Linked DNA regions of Notamacropus eugenii. The protein of the gene in region 3 interacts with the protein of the main gene of each other region in a pairwise test. Links are inferred from orthologs where the notes say so. Each region holds a gene or a part of one and is shown on either strand. Other genes may lie near its edges.

Region 1 (7,184 bases), about 48 Mb from region 3:
GGGGATCAGCAGACGCTAGACATCTGGCTGAATGCCTGAGCTATCAGGGGCAGGGGAAAGGAGGGCAGCGCAGAGGCTGCAGTAAGGAAACTTGTGAACTATTTCCCCCAGTGCTTTTGCTCCCTACCCACCAAGATGGAGATGGAAAGAGGGAGTGTCTGGGAGGAGGCCCTAGGGAGCCAAGTCAGGAAATAAACCATTGCTGGGCAAAGGGAAGGAAAATAAAAGTGCTGGGGGAGGAGAAGTGAAGGGTGATGGTGAGATCTGATGCTAATTAAAGATGATGAGATTCCTGGTCAAAGGCAAGTGGCCCAGACCTTTTCTCTGCTTATAAAGTCCTTGGTGTAAATATATATCCACCCTAGACTGAAGCATGCTGATCTGAGGTACCACAAAGCCTACCCTCAGTCCCCATTCCAGAAACAGGTCGTACCTTTTTAGGCACCCTTCTACCACCCAGGGACCCTATGGGGATGGCCTTCCAGTTTCCATCCTTGAGCTCTTGGATTCTTGTCCATGATCAGCTCATATACCATTCCCCAAGATCCCCTGGATTCTCCAGAGTTAGCTTCCTTGCGGGAGCGAGACTTGGGGTGACTACAAGACATAGCAAGGGGAAGGGAATGAGGACTCCGGGAAAGACTGGAGAGATGCTGTAAGGAGACAAAAATTCTGAAACGATCAGAAAATTTGAAAAAAGAGGCTGGGGCAAGGAAGGAAAGAAATAGAAATCTAAAGGAGTAGATGAACAGAGGGCAAGTGACACGAGAGGGTTTTGAGAGCTGGAAATTGGGGCTCCCTTTAAAAAAGTCTTCACTTAACAGGGGGTGCTAAAAACTTGGTGGGAGGAAATTGTCAGAAGGAAGGAATCTGAGATGAGGGTGTGTGGAGTGATGTGATTGTATGAGTAAATCTCTGGGAGCTAAAATGAGAGCAGAAGAGGCTTATCCCTTACAAGGGACATCAGCATATGGTCCAGGAATTATAGGATGTGGTAAGGCAAGAAACAGAGTGACTGACAAGAATCAACATTTATTCATTTAGTTGAGAAACCATGAAAAAACTCCCTAGTGCTCAGGAAGGGACCTACAGATCACCCAGTTTTACTCCCTGAGCCCACCATAGGCTTAGAGATCCCATAATAACACCTTGTAATGCTGGCAGGAACACAAACCAATATACCTATGAGGCCTAAGGAAACCTACCCTAGGTAGTATGGGAACCACATAACCCACACCACCACTTCCATAACCTAGCTGGAGCTCAGAGGTACAACACAGATAGGATCCTGAGCCCCTACTGGGGCCGGGAAGATCCCACAAAAACACAGCTGGTGGCCTTACCTACAATGTGACAACCATGTGAGACCAAAAGAATCCTATAGATACCATAAGAACGAATACATATAGCAGGGGGTGTGCAACAGCAGCCCTGGGTGCTCAGTGGGGACTCAGCAATTCCACAGTTAAGTCATCTGTGAACTCTCTGGAAACCTCATAGGGAACCCAAGAGGGCACCCCATCATAATACTGCTGTAAGTCCAGCAGGAACCCAGAAATGCCACAATCACTCCCATGAGACACTGACACCTCAAAATAGCACGAATGCCAACTGAATACAAACACTCTATAATAATAGTGTCCACTGTGGGGACAGCAGAGTCCCAAACATCCAGAGTGATATACTTGTAAGCCCACTGGGAAATCAAGGATCCCATAATAATATCCCTAGGAGGCTCCAGCGTCCCATGAATAAATCAATGAAAAAGCATTTATGAAGTGATTACTGGGTTCTAGGATCTGTGAGAGATACAGATACAAGCAAGACAGTCTGTGTCCTCAAGAGTGCACAACACATAAAGGGGAGAAATGAGAAGGGTGGTAAATGCTGAGGTGACAGGGATACAAAGACAAAACCAAAAAGAAGTCCTGACTTCAAGGAGCTTACATCCTCTGGGGGAGGAGAGAACATGTGAAGAGAAAAGTATATACAGCACACGACAATATGAAGAGGGAAACAGAACAACAGGCTCTCCAAAGGAGGTGGAAACCACCCAGGAGCTGGGCCTTGAAGGAAGCTCAGCATTCCAAGAGACAAATTAGAAGGAAGGAGGAAGTGCATTCTAGGCATGGAGGACAGCAGAAGCAAAAACATGGAGGTGAGAGATGGAATTCTGAGTTATAGCTTGTTTGGCTATAACAAAAATCATGGCAAGGGGAGCACCAGGTTGTGAAGAAGTGAAAACAATGAAGACTCCCAGGAGGTTCTCAAGCAGGGCAGTGATGAGGCCCCACTTGTGCTTTGTGTGGAGGAGGCCAACTATCTAGGGAAGGAAGGGAGCAGGAGTTCTAACGGATTGGGAGGCTCTCACAAGTAGTCCAGGCAAGAAGTGTGAGGCAGGTGTTTATAGGAAGAGAAGGGAATGGATACAAGAGGAAAGAAGAGCCTAGCCTGAACCTAAAGATGACTCATTATCGTAGAGATCAAAGGCTCCCCCCCATCACATGTGCTCTGACAAGGACCCATTATGTGCCAGATATGGCGCTTAAATGTAGAGATAGAAAGAAAGGCAAAAAAAAAAAAAGTTCCTGCTTTGGAGGATCTCACAACCCAATGCACGAAATAACCTGAAAGCACTATGTACCAATAAGGTATAAACAGAATAAAATGGAGATAACCTTTGTTGACCGTGGACAAAAGGCACTAAAATTAAGGAGGACTGGGAAAGGTTTCTTGCCAAAAAAAGGTGGGATTTTAGCTGAGACTTGAAAGAAGCCAGGAAAGCTGGGAAGCAGAGGTGAGGAGGGAGAGAATTCCAGGTGTAGGAGACAGCCAGTAAAAATGACACAATAGAATAAGTGACTTTTTTCTATCTCAGAAATGTGTAAAACACCAGAAGTCTAGGGCATTTGAAAAGTCAGCACCAGTATAGATCATCAAGTAGAAAAAGTCACTTATTCTATTTTGTCACTTTCACTGGCTACACAAATGCCTGGAAGAAATGAATCAAAATATTTTAAAAAGCAAAATAAAAGATCTAGAGGAATGAATTAGAAGGATAGAAAAGAATAGAAGGAATTAAAAAAGAAAAGTCCAAGTAATGGACTCTTCTGAAAATCAGAAAAGACTAAATGGATATCAATGACTCCATAAGACAGCAAGAAATATTAGAACAAAATTAAAAGATTGGAAAAAAATTAGAAAATGAATTTATCAATAACAACTTGCCTAGAAAATCGCTTACGGAAAGATAATCTGGGAATCTTTGGACTCTCTGAAAACCATTTATTCAGAGGATGTTAACCATCTCTTGACAGAGATAATCAATTTAAGGTTCAAAAAGAGACATATTTTTGGACATGATCACTGCGTGGACATGTTTTACTTGACTATGTTTATTTGTTGTATAAGGTTCTCCTTCCCCATCTTTTTAAATGGTGGAATGGGGTGGGGCAGGAGGATTAACAATGATGATGCTAAAAAAGAGTGTTGCTGAAATATTTTTAATACACAAAAGATAATGGGAGGAAGTTCATTAGCAAGTACAGACAAGCAGGATAATTTTGAAAAGTAACGTTGAATTTATTACATACTTTTTTAAAAGCAAGTGATTATTAAATGATAATAGTCAGCTATGTTTAGCCTTTAAAAAAAGATATTTTGCTTCCTTTATGTAAATTAATATTTTCATATGCAATCTTCTTTTTGTATTCTGCTTGCATATATGTAAATGCTCTGCCTTTAAATTCTGAAAAAAAATCAATTAGAAAATTTGACAGCTGTGTGGAAGTTTGGAGAGGTGATGGTGGCAGCGAGACTAATTAGGATGCTATTGTGATGGTTCAGATTAGAGGTGATGAGGATCTGAATTAGGGTGGTGGCACTGTGAGTTGAGAAGAGGACTGATGAGAGATATGTTGTGGAGGTAGAATACATAGGACTTGGAAACTGGATATGAGAATTGAGGGGGAGGGAAGAGGTGAGGATTATCATCCTAAAAGTTTATGACTGGAAAGATAGTGGTTCCCTCCAGAGAAACAAAGCATAGAGGAAAAGGAGCAAATTTAGGGGGGGAAAGATGAAGAATTCTGTTTTGGATATATTGAGATTGAGAGGTCTATGGGACATCTAGATGGAGATATCAAGCAGGTAGTTAGTTATGGGGGATTGGAACACAGGAGAAAAGTCAGGTCTGAATATGCAGATTATGCAGAGAGATTACTAAACCCATGAGAGCTGATGAGATCCCCATGGAAGAATTTGTGGAGTGGGAAGCCAAGGGGATTCAGGAAAAAGCTCTGGGGTAGGTACATCCTTCTACAGGGGACAGGGCATGAATGATGATACAGAAAGGGGGATAAAAAGGAGAAGCCAAATAGGGAGAATTAAGAAAGATCAGTGTTCAAAAAATTCTGGGAGAGAGTATATCTAAGAAGGATTAGTTAGCAGTGAGAAAAGCTGTTAAGGGGCCCAAAAGGATGAGGAATAAGAAAAAGCCATTGCATTTAACAATTAGGAGAATATGGGGAACTTTTAAAAGTTTCAGTTGAGTGGGGGGGAGGGAGCATTTTCTGTGGTTGTTCAGTCATGCCGGCTTTCTGTGACCCCATTTGGGGTTTTTGTGGCAAAGATACTGTAGTGGCTTGCCATTTCCTTCTCCAGCTCATTTTACAGATGAGGAAACTGAGGCAAACAGAATTAAGTGACTTATCTGAGGCCAGTCTTCCTGATTCCAGGCCTGGCACTCTCTTCACTGTGCCACCTCGCTGCCCAAGCCTGCCAGCCACTGCTAAGTGCTTTACAATTATTACATTTGATCTTCATAACAACCTTGCAAGTAGTTGCTGTTTTACAGTTGAGGACACTGGGGTAGAGGTTAAATGACTTGCCCAGGACCATACAGCTAAATCTTAATTCAAATCTTTGTGGCTCTGAAGCCCACAACACTATCCACTGAAAGTCAGTTTGCAAAGGGTCAAGAAGTAAGTAGAATATGACGTAAAGGAAATTAACAAAAGCAATTTTCTTTAAGAGTGGCTGTGAAAAGAGAAGATATATAGGATGATAATTTAAGGGGATCACAGGGCTGAGGTGTCTTCCCATTGCCTGTAGGATAAGACACAAAATCTCCAGCTTGGCATTTAAGGCTCTTCAAAGTTTGCCTCCGGCCCTATTTTTCCAGCATTATTTCAAGTGAAGGTAATAGTGGAAGGTACAGTGGAAAGAATATTGCATTTGGAGTCAGAAGAGCTGGGTTCGAATTCTGGATCAATCATTATTTTATCTGTGACACTGAATCAATCAATGAGAAAGAATTTTTTTAAAGTATTTATTAAACAGTTATGATGTCCAAGGCACTGAGGATACAAATATTTTCTCCCATTCTAATGGGGGGACACAACATACATGGAAAGTTTCAGCTGCAAGTCAGATGGAAAGATCCCATGGTCCTTAGGGTGCAACAGCAAGTTGGTAATTAAGGAAGATGGTAATATCTCTTCTTTCATGTCATTTTTGATAAAGTTCAGGTTCTGATTTGGCAACGTCAAGGCCTTGGATAGCAAGAATTTTCTTTGCAGTTTTCAATGGTTGTAGGAGCAGCCGCCAGGCTTCAGTTCCACAGGGTTGCTTCCTAGGATGATCACTGTGGGCACTGCGCTAGAAGCAATGCCAATGCTTTTGGGGCCTAGGGTCCTGGGGTCTGAGAGGTTTGATTTGCTTAGCCCTCAAGGCAAATAATTTAAGCTCTTACAAAATCTCCAAATGTGAGAGTCAGGAGGGAATTTGATGGTCCTCTAGTCCATCATGAAAAGAATACCTGTTATAACGTATCTGACAAGTGGTTGCCCAAGCTCTGGTTAAAGACCTCTAAGGCAGGGGAACCCAGCACTTCTTCAGGTAAGCCATTCTACTTTGGACAGCTCTACTTTTTAGGAATGTTTTGTGATGTCTAAGAGAACCAGCCTGTTTTTCCTGATATATCCAGAGACTCTCACCCTGAACCAGGATGAAACTTAAGAGTGAAGGGGGAGTGTAATGGGAGACTGACCAAAGGGCCCAGTCTTTACGAGCATGTGCAGCATGCTCAGCTAATTTCCACATGGACTTTGGAGCATGTGCAGACATTCTATAACTAGTTCTAGTCTGCTAACCTCATGGTAAAAGGAGCCTCTCCAAATGGCCACAACTTTCTAGCCAGAACTGGGGATGTATTTAAAATCAATTAGCTGAACTCATTTCTTTTTTCAATTTCTTTCTGCCTTCCAGCCCACTAGTTTCAGCGAGAAAAGTGTTACCATGCAGTTAGGGGATGTGTCAAGGGCTTTACCCAGACAATGTGGACCTAGAATCAGGGAATACAAGTCTGAGTTCTGTGGAAGAGTATTAAAAAGTTCCTTTTTAGTTCAACTGAAAATATTAAGAAATAATGTTTTTTCAGCCTAAAAATCTTTTCCCTCTAAAGGTCCCAGGAAATGGATCAAAGGTGACAGAACAAAGACAAAGGTCCCAGGAAAGGGATATAAGGTGATAACCAAACTGAACTCTCATCTAGGTAAGATCGCTGCCGGCCCATCCCCTGAAGGGACTGGTGCCATCAGCCATTTACAGGTGATATCTTTTTTTTCTTTTTTTTCATTCAAGAATTATTGATAAAAGCTTTTCAGTCCTTAAGGAGTGATCAAGGAAGGAAACGGACAGTGGCTGTTTTGGGAACACTAACCCCAAGCTATGTTTAACATATTATGATTGTTTCCTTGTTCAAGAGTCCTCAAAATGTTACCTCAGATCGTCTCAGGTTAGAGATATGCATCTCAGAAGGCACAGGAGGAACTATGCCAGTTTGGATCTCTCTCATCTAGGAAAGGTATGGATATAAAATAATGTTAAGTTCAAGACTGTTCTACAGACTTGGGCCTAAAATTCACCACAGTCATTTTTCCTCCATGATAGGTAAAGGAGATAGGAGACTATGATCTTGTGAGTCTCAAAAGGTCAAGAGATTGAGTCACCAGGTCCTGAGTGCAGCCTCTGCTGGGATTTGGCTCAGTGGCCACTGACATTCACTTAGTAGCCACGTTCAGACCTGAACTTGGTGGGATGATGTTCTGGAGAAGCCCGCTCACCCCAGAGACCAAGGGGAAACACTGAGAAGGAAGATTGGGGCTTCTGTTCTTGCTACTTAG
Region 2 (7,544 bases), on a different chromosome or scaffold from region 3:
AAATGTATTTAATAGGAATGTATGTGTACAACCTATGTAAAATTGTATGCCTCCTAAAAGAGGGAGGGGGGAGGTAGGAGGAAGAGGGAGGGAAAAAGTATCTAAGTTATATGGTAGTGATTAAAGGACATCTCGTCTCACTGGTCCTTGAACAGGAAACACTTTTACAACATTGACATAACATAGCCATTCAGCCTCTGTCTATATATACTCAATAATGGGGAACTCACTACATTTATTCCATCCCCTACCTCCATGCTTTTGCATGACTGGTACCCCCTGCCTGAATTCCCCCTCACCTCTCCTCTGCCTCTTAGAAATCTTTGTTTACTTCAACAAGTCAACAAGCATTGATTAAGCACTTACTATGTACCAAGAATCCCAGAGGCTACTAAAAAAGGCAACAACAGTCCCAGCTCTCAAGGAGTTCTCATTTTAACAGGGGACATAACATGCAAACAACTATGTGCAAACTACGCACACATACACACACATACATATACATGCATATGATGAATTGATGAGGGGTGGGGAATCCGTACCTTCAAGGTCACATGTGGCCCTCTTGGTCCTCAAGTGTGGCCCTTTGACTGCATCCTGGGACATCTCCAGTCATCCTGATGAATATCTGGTCACTGGATTCAGATGGCTGTGGAGGAGAAGTGAGGCTGGTGACCTGCACAGCCCTCCCTCACTCCAAACAAAGTCAAGTGCAAGTCATGTCATTATTTCTCTGATGGCATGGTCTTCTTCAGCAATGAAGGACAAAGTGCCACCTCCTTCATGAAACCTTTCTTGATTCCTTCCCTCCCTGTAGCAGTACCTAGTATAAACAAGTATGTTTATCCTGTGGGAAAAAAAAATCTTGTATTTACTTTGTAGATAGTTTGTGTAGCTTATGTATTAGGTACATTGTTTCTCATGAGAAAATCTAAGGAACTGTTTCATTTTTTTGTAACCCTAGCACAGTACTTGGGTATAGTGTTTGCAACATTCTTGTTGAATGAAATTGAATGACAAGGGTAGAGGTTGAATGGAGGTTGGAGTTAGATGCCATAAGGGAGGTAGCAAACATCCAGAAAGGGAAGCAGTTATTACAAAGCGCCAGCATGACTTCATTAGGATGACTTCGATTATTTCCTTCTTTATTTTTTTGATAAGGCCACTTAACATCTGATACCAAGGGAAGGCTGTGGGTAAAGTTGTTAGATTTTAACAAAGCATTAGATAGAATGTGTCATGTTCTTCTTATGGAGAAGACTAAGAGACTTAGGCTAGACCATCCTAGAATTGCCTTCAGAACTGTTCAGGATTGTGAATTGGCTTTAGAATCATTTGAAGAGCAATTAGACTTGATCAGTTTGGGGCCCAGAGAACAGAATAAGGAGCAAGGGCCAGTGGTCAATTGAGGGAATGTCAGGAAAAATGTCCTAACAAGAACAGTTGGCCCCAAGTGAAATGAGTTACCTCCTTGGGACGTGTTTAGTTCCCTCTCATCAGATATTTTCACCAAAGGCTTTTCAGGAACAGTAGAGTGGACTTTTCAAGAAGCAAAATGGTTTAATGGATAGGGCATGAGACTTGGAACTGAGAGGACCTGAGTACAGGTCCTGCATCAGACATTTAGTGGCTCTGTGATCCTAGGAGGGTTGATTGATCTGTGTTTAGGTTTCCTCACCTGAAGGTGAGGTGGACACAGTGGCCTCTCAGATCTCTCCTAGCTTGAAATCTTTGATCCTATGATCCTTCCATGTTGGATTAGCTGGCTCCTGTGAAGCATCCAACTTAAATTCTATGATTCTATGTGTGAGGAGGTATGGGAGGGGAACGTTGCATATAGGCTGAATGGACACTTTAGAAATTATAGGCACAGAATTAAGTGCACAAAATGAAGCACGCAAACAGGTTTGTATGCATACACATATGTATGCATTTGTGTATTATATCTATATAAAATTATTATATATGTATGTATATATTATATGAGTGTTCATATATAGGAAAATTGATATAGAGATCTATGGTCTGCAGATCTATATAGAATTATATATTGTTCAATTGTGCCTGACTCTTTGTGACTTCATTTGGAGCTTTCTTGGCAAGGATACTGGAGTGGTTTTGATGAGGCAGAAGAGTACTAGAAGTAGATGGAGCAAGCAGGATGCAGGATATGAGATATGAAATAAAATGCAGGGTACGATCGACCAAAAAGTGATCAAAGAAAACTAGGCATTGAAGCCCCTCACCACGGATTTACCTGTGTGCTTTCACAAAGCACCCCCAATTCCAGAACAACTCTTCCCTTTCCCTCCTCTATTGTCTTTGCTTATCTGTATGATAAAGCACCTCAGGCCTATCTGATATCCCAGGCATTTTGGAGCATGGCTTGCTCCTCCCATTCCCTTGTCCTCTTTTCCTCTATTCCATAAAATTATACTTAAACCAGACACCGAATCCCAATAACCACTTTTGCCTCCTATGAAGAGCAGGGCCGCTCTGCTACCTTAGGTGAGTAGGACTTGCCACCTATGCTCTGCCTCCCCTGAGTTTGACAGTATCACCCCAATAAATGCATTTCTTTAACTTGGACACTGAGTGAACTCTTTCAAGGCAATAGGACCCACACAGCTACTCCTCATCATTTCAGGTGATTCTTGGGGTGCAACCTGAACTCATCAGTCCTCCATTTTCTTCTCCAGCTCATTTGATGGATGAGGAAACTGAGACAAACAGGGTTAAATGACCTGTCCACGGTCACACAGCTAGTAAGTGTCTGAGGCTGGGTTTGAACTTAGATCTTCCTGCCTGCAGGCCAGGCATTCTATCTACTGTGTTACCTAGTTGCCCCCAGATCTATATATTGTGTCCCAAAAGTCTTATCGAAGTTTAAACTATTAAAATACAGACTGGCGTTAAGATTCTTGGCACAGTCTGCAGAGCAAGGAGGTAACCTTCATGCCAAAAAAACCATAGGATTTAGAGATGGAAGGACCTTAGATATCTGGTACCACAACCCCCTCCTTTTACAAATAGACCCATTGACCAAGGTCAGCAAATGATACATATATACACACAAGTACATACGTATACATTGGAAGCACAGTACGGTGGGAGGAGGTCTGACTTGAGAGTCATGAGGGCTGGGTGCTAGTCCCAGCTGTGTCACTCACATTGCTGTGTGACTCTGAGCACATTACTGGCAAACTTTAAAAGCACTAGATAAATGCTAGCAATTGTTATTAGCGCCAGAAAAACAGTCATCTTACACCTTTTCTGATGCAGTTATCATGTAGCATTGAGAAATCTAGTGATCTATGCGCCTTACCTGCTCCTAAAGTGAAAACAGAAGAGAGGGAGGGAAGGTGGAAGAGAGGAAGGGAAGAAAGAAGGGAGAAAGGGAGGGTAGGAGAGAAGAGGGGAGGAGAGGGAGGCTGGGAAGGAAGGAAGGAAGGAAGGAAGGAAGGAAGGAAGGAAGGAAGGAAGGAAGGAAGGAAGGAAGGAGAAAAAAGAAAAGAAGGAAAAGAGGAAGGGAGGGAGCGCGGTTGGGAGGAAGCATTTATTAAACTGCCCCGGTGTGTCAGGCCCTGTGCTAAGTTCTGAGGACCCCAAAAAGGGCAAAGTGCTGCGGCGCCCCAGGAGCTTAATGAATGAGACGGGCACCGCCCCGCCCCTTCCCTGCCCGCGCGGTGGGCACTGTGGGCGCCGGGAGCAGCCGCCCCGGGAATCCTGGATCTCTGAAGTCCCGGACTAGTAGAAGCCAATGACCTCCCCCACCCCACCTCCACCCTCGCCGCGGTTCAAAGCGGGAAAGCCCGGGGCGAGGGGCGGGCAGGGTGTTGGACGGCGGGACCCCGCCTGCTCCATTTAGTGACTCTCCGGTAAATTTGGGGTCTTCAGCGCGCGGACGTTTCCTAGGACGGGCTAGAAAGTAAAGCAGTCGAGGGCGGGGGGAGTTGTCCTCGAGCCTCGGGGCAGTCCCCAGCCCAGAGCGCGGGCTCCGTCACACCTGCGGGCCTCAGGGTTTGTTGATGGATTGACACAACGTTCATGGAAGGGGCGGCGGGGCTAGGGAGAGGAGGAATGGGGTGTGGGGGTCTACGGGCCCGGACGCCGGCAGGCCGAGGCCGGCGAGGACTCTCAAGGTCAAGGGGGCAAGAATGCTGGCCTCCAAGTCGGCCCCTCGGGCCACTATCTGGTGATAATCACAAGGACTTCCCCCGCGGACAGATGCCTCGTGACCCGAGTGCCCGCCACGCCCCAGACGTGGAGCCAGCGCCAGTACCAGGGAACACAGCCCGAGGCCAGCCGGGGGTGGGGTCAGCCGCGCGCAGGGGCAGAACTGAGCTCTGGGACTTATTTGCCGCTGTCCTCAAATGACTAACGAGCGTCAGATAAGTCCCCGCGCAGCCGCACGAGCAGGGAAGGGCCCTTCCTCTCCCCTTGCCCTCGGATTCCCCGCGGTACGGTGCAGCGCGCCTGCGCACGCCCCTTCGCACGCTGGCACGCAAGAGGCGTACGGCGGCGGCTAGGGGTCGCGAGCCGCCGGAGGAGTGGCGGGCGCGCGCGGAGGAGCCCGGGGCGTCGGACGCGTCTCCCCCCCTCCCCACGCCTCCCTCCCCCATCCCCCTCCCGCTCCGCCTCCTCCCCCCCTTCTCCCTTCCCCCTCCCCCCCGACGATGTTTCGCTACGAGGTGAGCGCGGGCCACCGGAAGTGGCCCCCCGGGAAAAGGGGGGAGGGGGACAGAGGGAAGGGGGGACCCCCTCCCCGGGAGGAGTGAGTCGGGGGAGCGGGAGAAGCTGGGCCCGTTACTCCCGTTACACCTACCGAGCGACGCCCGGGCCGGGAGCCGCTGCCCACCGGAGACCGGGGGTCGGGGAGGCTGCCCTGGGGCCTAGGGGAGGGGTCTTCCTCTATAGACTTCGGGGGCTCCCCTTGGACCATGAGGGGCTCCCTCTGCAACTTTAAGGGAGTCCCACTGTAGCCTTGGGGAGCTCCCCCGGGGCCTCGGGGGCCCGTCTGTAACTTTGGGGGAGTCTCTGCATCTTGGGGACGCCCTCGGGGTCTTGGGGCTTCCTTTCCACTTGGCGGAGTTCTCTCCTGAGCCTGGGGTGGGGCCGAGATGAGGGCCTGCCGCTTCCCGGGCTCCCCACCTCTCGGAGGAGCCCCAGGGGGTCGGTGCTGGAGGTGCAGCAGGCCCGGGGGGAGGGGGATGACCGAGAACAGCGCCTGCCTCCGGGCCTCGACCTGGCTACCCAGAGGCCGAGGTCTGGGGCGGTCATAACCTTGACCCAGCTCACAAAGGCCGGAGCCGCCCTCTTGCTGGAAGGCACCGATGATGCCTCTAGGGGAAGCTTGTCTGCGAGCCTCTTAGGTGCAGGCTGCCTTTGGCTTGGAGCTTGGGGTGTGTTTCTATTGCCGCTGCTGCTGCTGCTGTCCTTAGAGAGAAAGGAGAAAGGTTTGCTTTTTGACTTTAATCCCTCCCTTAGGTTTCGGGCAGGAGCTACCTAGACCAAGCCTACCTTGCCCTGAAATTCGGAGCAGGGAGCTTTCTCCAGGACTTTTGTGGGATAAAGAAGGAACCTGAGATCCCCCAGGAGGTGGGGAGGTGGGGAGGTGGGGTGCGTGTTCATCTCCTTCAGTAAAGAGACAGCCCAGACTTGCTTTTTTTGACATTGTGGGAAGAGCCCTGGTCTTGAAGTTAGAAGGGGATTTGAATCTTGCTACTTAATTGCAACTTGGGCACAAGAGTGGAATCAAGCACTAGAAAGAGCTTTAAGGAACATCTACACATCTTATTTTACAAGGGAAGAAACTGAGGCCTGGAGAGGTTAGGTGACTTAGGTGCTAAGTGATGGCAGAGTTGGATTTGAATTCAGGTTTCCTTTCTCACCTTTCATACATTCAACAAGCTTTTATTAAATTCCTGCTATTGGGAAGAGCATTGACTCAGGAAACAGAGGACCCTATTTTGTGTGACATTGGGCAGGCCTTTTCTTTTCTTGGAGTGTTATTTTCCCCATCAGTGACATGAGGAGGTTGAAAAAGCCTTTGATGCCCCTTCCAGCTCTAGACTTGAGCCTATGTGCTGTTCTCTGGAGATACAAAAGTAAAAATTAAACATCCGCTGCCCTTGAGCTTAAGTGCAAATACACACATGTAGTAATTTCTGATAGTGGTGGGAAGGATCAGGAAATATATGAATGAGGTTAAACTTGAGATGAGCTTTGAAGGAGGGTGGAAATTCTGAGAGGTTCATGTGAGGAGGGAAGACTTTATTTACACAGAAAATAGACTTGGTAGGCCTCAGTTTCCTTCTATATCCAGTTGTAAAATTCTGTGATTCCTAACCTGGTGACTTTAAGCAAAGCGATCATAAGCTCATATATCTAGAGCAGGAAGGGACTTCAGATCATCTATTCTAAACTCCCTCATTTTACAGATGTGGAAACTGAGGCCCAAAGAAGTTAATTGACTTGCACAAAAAACCCATCAGTAGTAAAAAGGCAGAGTTGGAATTCAGGTCCCACGTCCTTAGACTCTAAGACTGTCATTCTTTCCACTGTACCACATTGCCTCCCTCATCTTTAAAATAGGGAAATATAGAGCCTCTTTCCCTTACATTCCTCAGCTTCTTGAACATCTCTGTGTTCTGTGATTCTAATGATAATTAGTAGTAATAGTAATAACACTTTGCATTTATATAATGCTTTAAGGTTTGCAAAGTACTTTACAAATATCTCATTTGATCCCCATGACAACCCTGGGAGGTAGGTGCTATTATAATTCCATTTTACACATGAGGAAACTCACAGGAAGAGATTAAATGATTTGTCTGGGATCACAGTGTTAGTAAGGGTGTGAGACAGATTTTGAAGTCAAGTCTTAACTGACTCCAAGTCCAGAACTCTGTCCACTGCACGAGCTAGCTTAGAGAACTGAGTCACAGGGCATAGTGCTAAACCTCTGGTTCATTCACCCCACTAGAATTAATAAGAAGTCTCCATGGAGCCTTGACATCAGGTTTCCCAAACGGCACTAACTTCTGATGGACTTTTGATGACTGTGGAAATAAAGGGTGGGAATAAGTTGGCTGTTGTCATTTTTTAAAAAAGCAGAATGAAATAATTAACAGAGAACAACAAAGTAGGGGAAAAAATTCATATGCCATGCAATTGTGTTTGTGCAAGGCCATGGACATGATTTATCAAGATGTGCTTTGTTAGAAAATGGAGTGAATTGTGAGTCTGAAGATTTGCTATAGAGGCATTTCTTTTTATTTCCCAAGTTAGGGGTGAGAGAATGTTGGGAAATATTTAAAAGAAAGGAGTGATAGATTGAGAAAGAGATGAGCATGGTGGGAAATCAGTTTATAGGGGAAAATACCTAAAACTCAGAGCCAGAAATGTAATATAATTAACTTTCAATTCCTTTTACTACTTCAAACAGATAAGGAAGTTAAGAATTAGTTTCAGTTCTGACATATTTGTAGCAGTTGAGATTTAAGAAGAAATCCCTTTACTAGATTTCTGATGAATCATGTGAA
Region 3 (7,392 bases):
GGCTTAGATCCCTGGAAATTAAAGGTATGTGAGTACTGAGCAACTGTAGACCAGAGAGAGTGCCTTTGGACACCTCGACACACAGACACACACACACAGACACACACACCAGGACCTAGCACAAGCTGCAGGCGGCCCCACACACACACACACCTCCAGCTGCAGGGAGCACCCCAAAGCAAAGATGACTAATTAAGCCTGTGAAGGAAGGAAGTTCTCTTGATAGGGGAGAAAGGAGGGGTTGGAGTAGAGAAATAGTACAGGGAAGAAAAGGAAGGCTGTTTTCATTGCATTAGCATTTTTTTATATTTAGTGGTTACACTACCACAGGGCAACCAAGTTCCTTCCTATTCAGCCATGCCAAGTCCAGCCTGGACAAAGGGAATGCATCTGCAGGGACCGACCCCTCCTAACCCCTACTGCACATTACTCCTCCTCCCTCTGCCCCCACTGCCCTTCACGTGCTCGCAAGCGTGGATCAGGGGCAGCTGCCTGATTGCCAGCTTCTCCAGTGCACCTGTTCCATGGAGCCTCTAGGGTGGGGTGAAGGAGAGAACAGAAAGTCCAAGTGGCCTAAACCCCACAGGGTCCCCTGGTGGCATACCCCCCAGGCCAAAAAAGCCAGGGACAGGTCACGTGGGGACCTTGGGTTGTGGAGGGAGGCAAAAAGACACAGCCAATTTGGCAGCCTACTCCAGGGAGTAACAGCTAATTGCTTTTACTACCAGCCCTACTGTTTACTACTTCTGTGACCTTGGCCAAATCCTACCTCCAGCCCACTTTTTCTCACCTGGAAGTCTCTCCCACCTCCTCTCAGCCTCCTGGATTCTCTGGCTTCCTTCAAGTTCCAGCTAAAATTCCTCCTCCCTTCCCCCCCCCCCCAGCAAGTCTTTCCTAGTCCCCCTTAATGCTGGCTCCCTCCCTCTGTTAATTAGACCCGATTTACCCTGTATATAATTTGTTTGTACGTTAGTGTTTGCATGTTGTCTCCCCCCCATTAAGCTGTGAGTTCCTTGAGGGCAGGGACTTTCTTTTACCTTCCTTCACATCTCTGGTGCTAAGCAAAGAGTAGGTGCTCAATAAACATTTATTGACTGATTGACTGCAAAATTAGGTGATTACACTAGGGCCCTAAGGTCCATTTAAATTCTAAATCAGGGAAACCTGCAGCCTTGAGGCCACCGGTGGCCCTCTAGGTACTCAAGTGTGATCCCTTGACTGAATCCAAAGCAGTCAAAGGATCACACTTGAGGACCCAGAAGCCTCAAGGCTGCAGGTTCCCCATCCCTGTTCTAAATCCCACTGTCCTAAGACATACCTGGCCTTAAGACTCAAAGTTCCCTGGCTGAAAAGTCCCTCTGCTAGCTGAAAGTGATCTCTGCTGCCTCCAAATTCTCTTGTTACATTGTTACCTCTCTTGTGCTCTTATGTGCTATTTTGAATTGTGGTGGTTTGAGTACAGGTCTCATTTCCCTACCCATTGTAAGCTTCTTGAGGACAGGGACCATTTTTTTTTTTTAATCTTGGTGGCTCCCCCAGTGCAGAGCACAGAATTTTTGAGGTAATACTTGTGTAATGCTGGTACAGTGGAACTAGTGTTGTATTTGGAGTCAAAGGGCCCAGGTGCAAATTCCATTATCGTTATTACCTATGTACCCTTAAGCAAGTCGCTTGGCCTCAGTTTCCCCATCTGTTAAGGCAATTAAATGAGATGGCCTCTAGGGTCCCTTCCAGCAGGAATACCTTGGAAGGAAGACCTTCCAAGCTGGAAGACCTGGGTTCTAGCCCTGGCTCTGCCTCTTGTTCCAAAAGAAGCCTAGGTTTCCCTATCTGTGAAATGAGTGATCCTTCTACATGGTCTTTGAGCTGCCTTCGAGTTCTGACCTATATTTTAAGGTTCCTTACCACTCTAACATTCTGTGGTCTGAGGCCCGGGTCTGATGTTCTCTGAATTTCTTCCATTTCTTCCTGCCATTCCATTCCCTAAGCTCCCAGCGCTGCAACAACTGAACCCCTTAACAAAAGATGGAGAAAGGCAAAGATCTCAACTTCCTTCATTCAGCCATGAACTTTTAGTTTCTTCTCCATTACCTTCTTCCCTAAAAGGACCAGGATCCTAGAATCCATTCCAGTCTTCAGTGCTCCCCTTCTGCCCAGGGATCCCTTCCCTCCCCAGGGCAGAATCCCCTCCCTCTAAGTGATCGGACTCTCCCCAGTAGACCAGACCACAAGATAGTGGCCAAAAGCTCAGACCTCCAGCATTCCAGTATTGATGCCTCCTCATGGATCATTCCAGTTGAAAGGAAACTTAGACCATCTAGGCCAACCCCTCATTTTGCAGATGAAGAAATTGGGGCACAGACACTGGAAAGGATCTGCCCTACGACCACATGAAAAGACTCACAGGCCATGCTTTCCTTCACCACAGGGCTCAGAATAAATTTAGCACTGATCAGAATCCCTTGGGTCTTAAGAAAAGAAGCAGAATTAGAGGCCGAGAGCCTCAGAATGGAAAGAAACCTAATGGGGTGGGGGCTGGAGAGGCTCTCCTAGGATTTGAATTTCTGTTCTTAATTGTCCCTGGAGCCAGTTTATCTGGAAGGTTATTTCTAGGATCAGTTTGTTGTCTCTATTTTGCAAACAGCCCCAGCAGTGCCTCCTCACTTCCCCCGCTTTCCCTCCCCCAGTCACTCAGGGGCTATTTATTTCTGGTGACAAGCCCCATCGTCCCTTGGTGGGGGTGTATCAAAGCATTGGAGGGGACAGGGTGTCACTGGCAACAGGCAGGCAGTCACCCAGCCTCCTATGGCACAGGAGAAGGTTGGAGCAAAAAAAAGCCCTAACACCCCCACCCCCAGCCACTGGCCTTTCTCTCTTCTCTAAAAGTACTGGGCTCAAGGGATCAAGGATCATCAGGCTCTCCCCAGGGCCTCAAAGGTCATGGTTATTTCTGAACACTGGGGAAACAGAGGCAGTAGAGTCAGGATATTTTTGGTGTCAGAGATGGGGCCTGAGGGTAGGTTGGAGAAAGAAGGCGTCTCCCTCCCTTCTACTACCCCTCCCTCCTCACTTACACACAAGTACTCCAGCACTCATAACTTTTAAATAAAGAACTCTGGAAGGTCACAGATCCATCGGCAGGAGTTCTCCTTCCTGCTGTCACCACTATGAATAGGAGGAGTATGTCCTCCATCTCTCAAGTCAGCTAAGGAGAAAGTTACCCATGTAACTTTGGGGGAGTCCATTTGTTCTCTCAACCTGCTTTTTTCTGTTAAACAGGAAAGTTATGACATACTTGGGTACAATGGAAAAACCACTAACTGCAGTCAGAGGCCTGGGTTCAAATTCCCCCAAAGATGACCTTAGAAGAGTCTCTAGGCCTCAGATTCCCCACATGTACAATAAGGAGGTCACAATAGATAGCCTCAGAGGTCTCTTCCACTTCTAGGTCTATGATACCATGACTAACTGCTCTCTAAATGCCCTTCCAGCCTTAAATCTAACAGTCCTAGGACCTGAGAGACCATGCCCCTACCTTTGCCTGGGCTACAGCTAAGCTAACCCCAACTGAGCTCCTTATCCCAAGCTGTGGGATCCAATTTGTGCTCCGTAGTCATAGTGGGCTAGGGATCTAGGAACAAAAGACACTTCCACCCCACCCATAGGTAGGAACTCCTTGAGGCCATACTCAGATTCTTGGAGTAGGGGCTAGAAAGATTCCACCAAATAAAAGGGGAGAGATCAGTGGATAGTGAGTGAGTCAGAGGAACTTGTATAGTGGGAAATGGGCAAGACTTAGAATCCTATTTCCTGGCTTCAAATTCTGGTTCTGCCACTTTCATTGTCACTTGTGTGACCCTGGGCAAATCCCTCTGGGCCTCAGTTTCTTGATGTGTCAAATGAAGGGTTTGGACAAGATGCCCTACCAGCTTGAAATCCCTGAGCTGATAGTTTAAATCCTAGCCTTGCTATATACCATCTATGTGATTTAGGCAAGTCACTTACACCCTGTGGGCCTCAGTTTCTCAAAATGCAAAATGAAGGGATTGGGCTAGATTAACAAAATTCTATATTCATTCTGAAGTTCGAGACCCCACCTGATAATACGCCCTAATCCTCAGCCAGGGAGGCCAGAGCCACGGGCTCAGAAGAGCCCCGGGAAGGCTTTCAATTCAAAATGCCTACTACGTGCAAAGCCCTAGGCTGAGGACCAGCACAGATAGGCCAAGCTTGGGGAAGGGGACTCGCGGAGAGGCTCTGGTCGAGGGGGCGGGCCCCAGGTTGTGGCGGGGAGACTAACCAGGAGGGGGGGTGGGTCCGAGAGGCACTGGGCCGAGTTGGGGGGAGGGGGGCCGGGGGCGGGGTCCGGGCTGGGCTGGGCGGGCTCCCGCCCTCACTTCCTCCGGGAGGGGTTAGGGACGTAGTGCTCAGAGTCGCCCACACAGTCTCTGGACAGGAGTCGTCCGAGCCGCGCGTCCAGCCCCGGCCCCCCAGGTAAGAGCCACCGCCCCGAGCACGGCGGCGGACAGAAAGACTCGGCCAACCAGGATCCTGCCCCCGCACCCCGCCCTCGGCCCCCTCAGCGGCTGCGCCCCCTCCTCCACCCCATCAAGCCTGCTGGCTGGACTCTACCCTTGAATGTGCCCCCAGCCCCACGTCCCAGGTCTGTCAGTCCCCTCCTGCTGGGGCAGGAAGGTGTGGCGGGAGTCGGGGGCGCGGGGAGCAGAGAGGAGTTCCCGGCTGGCACACAAAGAGTTAACGGCAGCTGTTTCTCCGCCTGTCCCTGGCTGGCTTGCCTGCCTGCTTGTTCAGGGTCCCAGCTTCCGAGCGCCCCCAGAGCCCGGGAGACCGTGCTGAGCTGTGCTGCATAGTCGAGGCCGGGGATGGGAATGAGCTTCCCGCTGCCGAAACCCCACTGACATCTCCCTCTTCCCCGCCCTTCCCCAAAGGCCGCTGTCCGTGCCCTCCCGCGGGGAACCGGCCGGCTAGTTTCTGGTCCTGGCCAGGTTCTCCCTTAGGGGATGAGGGAGGGAGGCCGGGCGGAGACTCCCGCTGTCCCACTGGGTGTGGGACTGTTGTTGGGAGCCAAGTTGGAGAAGAAAAAGACAGAAATTCGGAGACACTGAGAGACTGAGACACGATTGAGAGACAAAGATGGAGGAGGCATCAGGGAAAGAGAAACAGACACACAGAGGCTCAGAGTGAGACACTTACCTGGCGAGCTCCAAACTTTTATCTTCCAATTCAGATCTCTGTTCCAGTGCCTCAGCCCCAGGGGACAAAGACTGAATGAACTGGCTGTCCCTGGGCCCATGGGAGTTTCATCTCTCCATCCCTTTGTACCCAACCTTTTCCTTTCGCAAGCAGCTTTGTCCTTCTAAGCCCCCATGGTGGGGAGGGGGGGAAAGAAAGAGAATTTAGCTCTGGTGCCAAGCAGCTAGTAGTGGTAAGGGGGAGGGAAGGAAGGAGGTAGGGAGAGAGAGACAAACAGACAGAGAGAGAGAGAAAGTGTGTTAAATTTCTCCCCCTGAGTATTCTGTCAACAAACCCACCAACTCTTGGAATCTGTGGAAGGGGAGGAAAGGGGGAGGGGGCAGAGAGGGAAGGTTGTAGTCCTAGTCACAGCTGAGGGGTGGGGTGCAGGGCAGATTCTGTGCTAGCCTGTGGGGAAATAAATGTCCTCACATATGTATGCCCTTCCAAACTGTGGAGCAGTTAGTGGGAATAATGGGAAACTTTATTTACATGAACATTTAGGGAACTGGGAGTATCTGGCCCTCAGTGATAGAGGAAGAAAAGGGAACCTAGACCCCAACCCTGTTAATGTTCTCTGCCTTTTGGCCAGCTTGGCTGAAACATTTCCAGATCTCTCCTCTCCCCTGAGAATTCAGTATTGGCAGTCTCTTGGAGCCAATGATTCCTGTAGGGCTCAGAGACATGATACCAGGTGTGTCAGAAAGGAAGGAGGGAGGGAGAAAGATGTCTGGGTAACCCTGCAGTCTGGGGTTCTATAGTGTCTTTTCCACTGGAGCTAAGGAGGCTGAACCTGAGGGAATACCTGGGCTTCCTCTTAATTCTCATGCTGGATAGACTGATCAGGGAGCCCTTTCTACATTTTTGTTCCTAGACAGGAGCTCCATTCTTGGCTATAGAATATAACAATTCAGTTCAATTCAATTCACCAAATATTTATTACCAAATGACTACTGTGCTAGATTCCAAGAATACAAGAACGACAATTACTACGGCCACTGTCCCTACCTGGCTGGAATTTACAATCTGCTATGGGGGATCTGACTCAATGGAAACAAAATTAAGCCTCCTACTAGAGAGAATGTGATAGGAACAAGGGAGAGTTAGACTAAGTGCTCTGAGAAATTTAAGAAGGGAGAACCACACGGAAGGCACTCCCTCTTAGGGGGAAGCGTCCCGGACTTCAACTAATGCCTAGGAAGGGATGGAGATTCTCTGATCTTTGTTACCCACTTGGGCCACCAGCACCACTGCACTGGGGAAACTCAAAGCCTGCCCACTCCTGGGCATAAAAAAATCAATATCTTAAGATCCTGCCCCTGGCCATTCAGACAGGATTCCAGGAGTTAAGGGACTAAATGGCTCTGTGTAGATCTCAGAGCGTTGAGATTCTCCTTTCGATTGTAGCTGTTGTACCTTGGGGGAAGAGGGAATCCAGTACACAGGACTCTGCATTCTGGTGACTTCTTGCCCCCCCCCCCCAACCTTTTTCTGACTAGTACCTAAATTTGAGGGGCAGGAAGCTCCTGGAAAGGAAATGGAGGGTATAAATTGGGGCAGGGGAGGGGGGGATTGAAGAGAGTGGCCTGAAGGGATTCTAAATCTCATCCACAAAACTCAGTTACTCTAGCTGCACCAGGAAGACCAGATGGGCTTTGTAGTGTGTGCTAGATGGATTGTTGGTCCAGAAGTCCGGTAGACCTGGGTTCAAGTCCTGTCATTGGCAGCTATGGATAATAACGTCTCTTGTTGCTGCCTCATGGGGATAGTGAGAACTTAATAAAATAATCTAGGCTAAGTGCTTTATGAATGCCAGCTAAGTCTTATTATTCTCTGACTTCCCCCTTCCACGACTTAGGAGGGGAAACCCCTTGTTTCAGGAGCTGGAGGCCAGGCCAGGGAGGAAGGAAAGGGTCTTGAACACTCCCAGACGGATGTCCTGCCACACTCCCCACCTGCACTGACCACTCTCACATATAGTATTGAATGGCCAAGGGGAGCTTCAGATGCTGGGCCAAAGGAAACATGAGCTGGGGGGGAGGGAGGAGGGAAATGGGGGGAATAGAGATGCCCAGGACAGAGGGGAGGAACATTCTGGAGAACAGGAACCTGTTTCCCCCAGAGCTCTCTCAGCTTTGC
Region 4 (7,109 bases), on a different chromosome or scaffold from region 3:
ATGACTGAACAACAAACAAGTTGTCACACCTCTATTCTCTCCCCTCCTTCTAAACCATCATTCATACTACTGCTAGACTAAAGTCTTGTTGACTTATAAATCTGGTCACATTATATCTGTGTCCACAACTCATCACTGGTGCCTCTATTGCCTACCAATTAAAGGTCAGACTCCTTTGCCTGGCATTTGTTATGCTCTACAATCTGGTACTTTGCCTTTTTGCCCTTAACTCATATCACTCCCCTCCATGCACCTTACATTCCTGCCAAACTGAACAACTTTTCAGTGGTGTAACACTTCCTATTTTCTTGTTTCAATGCCTTTGCCTACACTGGTCCTTCTCTGGGATCTTACAGAAAATATTCTAAGTTATTTCTGATTTGCAAAACAGAATAAATAAATAAAATCTATTTGGGGGGAAGATTCCTGTGAGTTACCCTATGTTTTTAAGAACTTTGCTTTGATGATTCTGAAAGGTTTGGCTTTCTTAAATACATCAAAAACAATTAAAGTTTTTCTTAGCGATTCAAGTCCATCATTATAAACATCAATAAGGAGACACAGACATGGAGGTCCACTACCTGTTCATGCCTATCTCAAATGGCCCATATCATTACGCTTTTTGAGTTCTCAGGTCTGCTTTGCATGTTTTTTTCCACTTATTTTCTCACCATCCAAAAATTAGCAACAAGTTTTTGGAAACACAGATAACTAAACTTGTCAGAACTATATCTAAAACTATAAAGCTATAGCATAAAGAGACTTGAGCAGCTCTCTTATAAGTAGTCAAGAGCTTTCCTGCATAGACTTTATCAAACCTCTTTTAACCAATATGACATTTTGAGTCCACTTTACAAGCTCTTATCTAGGTTTCTGCTAGTCTTATCTAGTTCTTATCTAGGTTCTACTAGTTAAGGCTGCTGGAAAACAGACTGCTGAATAAGTACATTATAGCAGTATTTCAAACATATGTAATGTATATATATATATAACTAATCATCTAGAAGGCTGCATAAGATATTAAGAAAAATATGTTTCATTATTTCTTCTCGATGATCACAGTCATCAGACTTTGTGTTCTGTGGGGGTCAGCCAATGCTATCGCTATTATTAAACTCTCTTCTCAGAATAACATCAATCCAGCTGTGGCAGAATCATGATTTCTCACCATATGGAATACACCAAGAAAAGGAACTTCAAAGACTTTCATATTCACTTCATACTAAAAACCACAGCCATTATGCTAATATCAGGAGCTTGGGTAAAATGATCCCTAATGTCTCTTACAGCTCTAAAATTCTGCAAATCTAAGTAACAAAAACTTATACAGGGAGAAGTGGCAAATACAATCATTTCATGCCCTTTCTCATTAGGAAATAAAATATTTTGTTATACTATTAATATTATTGATGAAATTGACACCACCTCTTATTTCAGCAGCATTCTCAGATTTATCTTCGGCACTCTTTCTCAAAATATTACTACACCAAATACACACAAGGCTTAACTGAGCTAATCATATTTTCTTCAAACTTTAATATTTTATTTGATAAAAAACATATATATATGTATATAGACACACATACATATATATTATTATATACTTCACACTTAACAATATTCATTTTAGAGTCACTTTGGAAGCCAAATACTTATGACAGTATTAAGTTCTACCAACTCTTTTATTTTTTTAAGTAATAAAATGTCTAGATTTACCAGCCCAGTCTATTTCACAGGATTGTGGAGATTGAAAGACTAGATAAGAATGAGCTTTGAGAAGTTATAAGATCTAGCCAAACGTAAGTTGACATAACTACTATTGTACTATATGGATGTTGAAATTGTAGATTCACATGATTTTTGAACTCTTTACAAGAAGTCCTGGAGATCATGTAATATAAACTCTTCATTTTGTGAATGAGAAAATTCAGGCCTTGGGTGGTTAAGTGACTTCCCCAAGGTCATGCAGCCAGTTAGTGTCAAAACTGGGCTAAAAACCTAGGTCTCTTCACCTACTGAAAACGAACCATTTCTCTTTGGGCAACCATCCGTTGAGATGATACACAAGCGCATTTAGTTACATCCACTTCACTGAAATTTTATGGGGCTGACTGAATTGCTATCCCACGTGTAGCCCCATGGCTATGCACCGCCTGCCTCAGAGGAGCACTGATGCTCTTCCCCGACGGACTGAAGTTTGCCCACCTGGAATCCAAGGCTCCACATCATCCTGGGCAGAGTTCAGAGGAGAAAGCATCCCCCGGACTGTGGTCCACACACGTGCCCAAAATGACAAGTTTCCGGGCGCTCTTGGCAATCACACACACACGTAACACCACAACAAAGGAAAGCCCCCCAACACTCCCCCCACATCCCTTATTCGCTTCAGTCCACACCTGCGAAGACACAAAACCCACAGCGGATTCTGTCTGGCCACGTCTCCGGCGCTATTCCGGAGAAGCATCTATCCAAGCCTCCGCTACACCGGACACAGGCTCCCGGGGACACAAAGAGCTGGCACGTTCGGGGGCTCCGCAGCTGTGCGGGGTGCCACCGCTCCGGCTCCGCGAGTTATCCGGGCTTTTCCATGCCCGTCTCTCCCCCAGGGGTCAGAGCTACGCCTCTCCTAGAGCGGCCGAAGCTGGGGCGAAGCTGAGGGCTACCTGTGTCAGCCCGCTCGTGCCGGGCGGTCCAGGGGCAGGCGGCGCACGGCTGCCCTGTCAGAGGGCTGGCTTCTCACCGGGCTCGCCTCCTTCCGTGCCCGGACTCCGGCACGGAAGGATGCTCCGGGGCCCCTCGGGCGCCTCTCCCGGAGCGCCGCCTCCCGCCCCTTCTCGCGGCGTGCCCCTACCTGGTGGCTGGCTGTCAGCAAAGCGGCGGCTGCATGCCCTCCTCCCCGCTCTCACACGGCTCCCAGCGCCATGTTCCCAGTCTCCCTGGGAGCGCGGTGTGTAACTACTACAGGCAGGGCTGGGGAGAGGGGCGGGGGTGGGGAGCGGAGCGGAGCGGAGAGGCTGGGGAGCCAGAGCCTCCTACAGGGGACCCGAGCTACTCTCCGACTGAGCATGCCCAGTTCCGGCGCTGGCAGCCACGGAGGGGTTTTCTCTCTGCCAAGTCCACTTCTCCGCGTTTTAGTTGCAGCCCAAAGGACAGGCAGGAGCTGGCAGAGGGGCTGGCCCCGCGTGGGGAGCTGGGGGTGGCTCCACGAGGACCGGACTGAGCCCGGAATGAGCTGGGACCGGAGAGGACGACGGTGGCAATGGCCCGGGAGAAGGCATCTCTGCTGCCTGAACTGACTTTATCCTGGCAGCCACCCCCAAGCCTAGGCATTCCGACCGTCTACAGCTTAGCGACCCAAGTGAGAGCTGGGAGGGCTGGAGGGAGGGCAGCAATTTGCAAAGGCCGGCCTGAGGGCACCGTGAGAGAATTCGGACTTGTCACACTTGCCAAGAAAATAGATACATTGTTGACGATTACAAGTCAGTCCTGCGCTCCGCTCCTAGCATGGACCCCCTAGTGATTAGAACTGGCTTGGGGGTTTCCCACCTCCCATAAAACCCACCCTCGTGGTGGTTAATTGTAGCTCTGGGTGCCACACTACATCCATCCCATATGAGCCTATATGCAACTATTCCTAAAGTTTCCCTTGGGAACAGCTGCACCTTCCTTAAAACGAATGTCTCCAGGGACTTCTTTATGTTTTTGGATCAATGACTTGTCATACCAATAAAACCTGACCCGGATTCCAGTGGGCACCTTCCTTTGCAATCTGAGGAAAGCTAGATCAATAGTTGGTAAGGGATAAATTCCGAAGCCTCTTTCCACTGATCTGGGTGACCACACCCCCTAGATGCTTTCTCACCCCTTGCCCTTCGGCTGGAGCGGGGAGGGCGGTGGTAGTCGCTATCTCTTACAACCTATTCCACAGTCTCTTTGCCAGCCTTCTCCTTGCAGTAGCTAAAACCTGGATCCGAAAGTCAAATATTCAGTGCTCCAATAATGTGTCTGAGCATGCTCAGTAAGGAAGACTAACAGGTTCTGGGTTTAAGAGTAGAAAGCGATTGCATTCAAGGATAGCAGGCTTTTCAGCAGAATTACACCCAAGTTCCAGCTGGCAAAGAGAAAGATGGATATTCATATTCTCTTCCTGCCATTAAAAAAGTACACTTTCCCAAGGGCTGCCTTCTCAGCACCCCAGACTGATTTCTTCTAGGAATTTTCACAACCCACATTGCACAGAGATGGAACTTAATATCAGAGATACTGAGTTTTCCCATTATGGGTAATTCGGCTGCACTTGGAAGGCCCTTCTTGCGGATTTAAAAAAATAATACACGTCTCTTTGAGGCTTAGGAGATGGAATTCATTTTCCTTCTTAAGGAATGAAAAAGCAGCTGTTCTCTGAAGGGTTTTTCATTTAGTTTGTTTAGTAGGAAAAAGATCTTAACTATATCTAGCCCATCCATCGTCTTTTAGACAACATCAGAAGTCTAGAGAAGTTGCCCAAGATCAAACCAGCAAGCGGAGAGAGGATTTGAACCCAGATAAAATTATAGTCCCAAATCCCATCTTCTTTATTCTCCAAGTATTTGGTAAATGGACATATCTTGAACAGTCTGCAAAACAAAGATTTGCATATGCAGTACCCACATTATGCTCTGTATCTTCTCATAGCTAAATAGATAATGGCAAAGCAGTTATCCTTCTCCTGCTCTCTGATTTTTCATTTACTCAAAGCTCATAAAGCAGTAAGTGCCATACAACAGCACAGATCCTTGCTAAGAAAAGATTTATTTTCCTCCCTCCCCCTTCTTAAATATTCCTCTTTAAAACAGAGAAATGTCATGATTCCTTTTATTTTAGATGAGAGAACAGAGAACGTATTTCTGGAAGCTATCTAGTCTCACATAGCATTATAGGATTGTAGAACACAAGACATCTTAAAAATCATCTTTACAAACAAGGGAACTGATGCACAAATACTGAGATCAAGAGATTTGCCCAAAGTTAGTAAACTAGTCAGAAGTGGAGTCAAGATTCCAACCCATGTTTCTAATACTAAATTCGATACTATATCAAATTGACTAAAGTGATGAAATTAGAGTAAGGAAAACCTGAGTTCAAAATTCTGCCCCAGACAATGGGCAAATCACCCAGCCTCAGCTTCTTAATCTGCAGATGAGGGAGTTGGATTCAATAGCCTCCAAGATGCCTTGCAGTTTTGAATCTCTGATTTTGTAATTGTATAGGTTAGACTACTACTTCTAAACTACCTTTTTTCCCATTTAGTTGAAAGTTAAGTATTTCCTCCTTTTTACCTTCATTCCCTCCTCTCTCTCTTCCTCCCCCCGCCCCCACCCCAGACACCTGGGAGTGGCCTGAAGCTGAATTTTTAGTAAACAGGAGAAATTTTTTTTGATACATTAAAAAAATTTGAAATATAATAAAAACTTGAGAATTTGTACTTTTTTCTTGAAAGTAACAAAAAGAATTGCCCATTCCTGCAGATTAAATACTATTCCTTTAATACTTCAAAGTTCTATGGTCTTATTGATCTGAGAACTCCCTTCACCAATGATGCTCACAAGCTTTCCATGACTTTCTGGAAGTTTTCATTAGTTGCTCTGTACCCTAAAATATTGCCATCTAGGAGCCAACTCTCTACCGAAGAACCTCTCTGAACTGGGATAGTCTAGTTGTTGAATAACAGATCTCCAATCTGCTGCTGTCCCCATAGTCTTAGCATTTCCATCTTGCCAAACAGAGCTGTTCTCTGCTGGCATAATATTTTAGAACTCATCATTGCTTCCATATCACCAACATGAATCAGAAGAAGATTTTATAGAGGAAATACTCTTCCTATACTATCATATGGTACTGATTTAATCTAGGCAGCTATGTGCTGCAATAGATAAAATACTGGACCTGGAATCAGGAAGACCTGAGTTTTCAAATAAGTCTCAGAAACTTACTAGCTTTTGACCTGGGCAGGTCACTTGACTTCTGTCTGCCTCAGTTTCCTCAACTGTAAAATGAGGATAATAATAGCACCTACCTTTCAAGGTGGTGGTAAGGATCAAATGAGATAATATTTGCAAAATTAATGGCACATAATAGGTACTTAATAAACATTTGTTTCCTTCCTAGGCCAGGGGTTCTTAACCTTTTTTTGTGCCATGGCCCCTTTGTCAGTTGAATGAAGCCTAAGGACCCTGTCTCAAAATAATGTTTTGAAGTACTTAAAATACAAAAGATTACAAATAAAACCAATTATATTAAAATAGAACTTAATTAAATTAGTACCAAATATAGACTAAACCAAGACAACCCCACTAATAAAGCATTAGGGTGCGTAGTCTTCTGTAGCCCCTCCAACATTTGTTATTTTTTCCTTTTCAGCTATGCCAATCTGGTGGTTGGAGGTAGCACCTCAAAGTTGCTTTAATTTGCCTCTCTCTAGGTGTTAATGATTTAGAGCATTTTTTTTTCCCATATGTGCCCTCTTCTTTCATCTGATACTGTCACCATTCTGGTGAAGGTCCTCACCTCACACCTGGACTATAGCAATAACTTACTGATTGGTCTTCCTGCCTCAACTATCTCATTTCAGTTCATCCTCTACTCAGCTGGCAAAGTGATTTTCATAAAGTTGAGCTAGCCATGTCACCTCCCACTCCCATTCAATAAACTCCAGTGGCTCCCTACCATCTCTAGGGTCAACTAAAAAATCCTCTGTCATTCAAAACCCTTCACAACCTGCTGCCTTGCTATCTCTCCAGTCTCCTTATACTTAATCCCCTCTAGGTACTTTGTGAATCAGTGACACTAGCCTGTTTGCCTTTCCTCCCACAAGATACTTCATCTCCCATTGTTTTGCTGTTTTTGAGTCATGTCTGACTTTTTTTGATCCAATTTGAGGTTTTCTTGGCAAAGATACTAGAGTGGTTTGCTATTTCTTTCTCATTTTACAGATGATCAAACTGAGGCAAACAAGTTTAAGTGATTTGCCAGGGTCACACAGCTAGTAAATGTCTTAAGGCAGGATTTGAACTCAGGGCTTCCTGATTCCAGGCCCAGAACTATCTTTTGTGCCATCAAGCTGCCCCTTT

What was found.
Region 1: the proteins of FHL3 (region 3) and KIRREL2 interact in binary tests that used the Homo sapiens proteins (3 or more experiments, as listed by UniProt). The two-hybrid records come from large-scale screens. The link is inferred for Notamacropus eugenii from reciprocal best matches to the Homo sapiens genes FHL3 and KIRREL2.
Region 2: the proteins of FHL3 (region 3) and PATL1 interact in binary tests that used the Homo sapiens proteins (3 or more experiments, as listed by UniProt). The two-hybrid records come from large-scale screens. The link is inferred for Notamacropus eugenii from reciprocal best matches to the Homo sapiens genes FHL3 and PATL1.
Region 4: the proteins of FHL3 (region 3) and PAK5 interact in a two-hybrid assay, tested with the Homo sapiens proteins (2 studies listed by BioGRID and IntAct). The two-hybrid records come from large-scale screens. The link is inferred for Notamacropus eugenii from reciprocal best matches to the Homo sapiens genes FHL3 and PAK5.

The regions. Positions count from the first base shown.
Region 1 is NC_092876.1:33,020,463-33,027,646, reverse strand, and holds the start of KIRREL2 (kin of IRRE-like protein 2), read right to left. Parts: upstream 3,002-7,184; 5' UTR 1-3,001. UniProt on the Homo sapiens protein: May regulate basal insulin secretion.
Region 2 is NC_092873.1:5,566,603-5,574,146, reverse strand, and holds the start of PATL1 (protein PAT1 homolog 1), read left to right. Parts: upstream 1-4,540; 5' UTR 4,541-4,676; coding exon 4,677-4,691; intron 4,692-5,272; exon of another isoform or gene 5,273-5,456; intron 5,457-7,544. UniProt on the Homo sapiens protein: RNA-binding protein involved in deadenylation-dependent decapping of mRNAs, leading to the degradation of mRNAs. Acts as a scaffold protein that connects deadenylation and decapping machinery.
Region 3 is NC_092876.1:81,223,910-81,231,301, forward strand, and holds the start of FHL3 (four and a half LIM domains protein 3), read left to right. Parts: upstream 1-4,389; 5' UTR 4,390-4,494; intron 4,495-5,214; exon of another isoform or gene 5,215-5,414; intron 5,415-7,392. UniProt on the Homo sapiens protein: Recruited by SOX15 to FOXK1 promoters where it acts as a transcriptional coactivator of FOXK1.
Region 4 is NC_092872.1:582,972,814-582,979,922, forward strand, and holds the start of PAK5 (serine/threonine-protein kinase PAK 5), read right to left. Parts: upstream 3,023-7,109; 5' UTR 2,852-3,022; intron 1-2,851.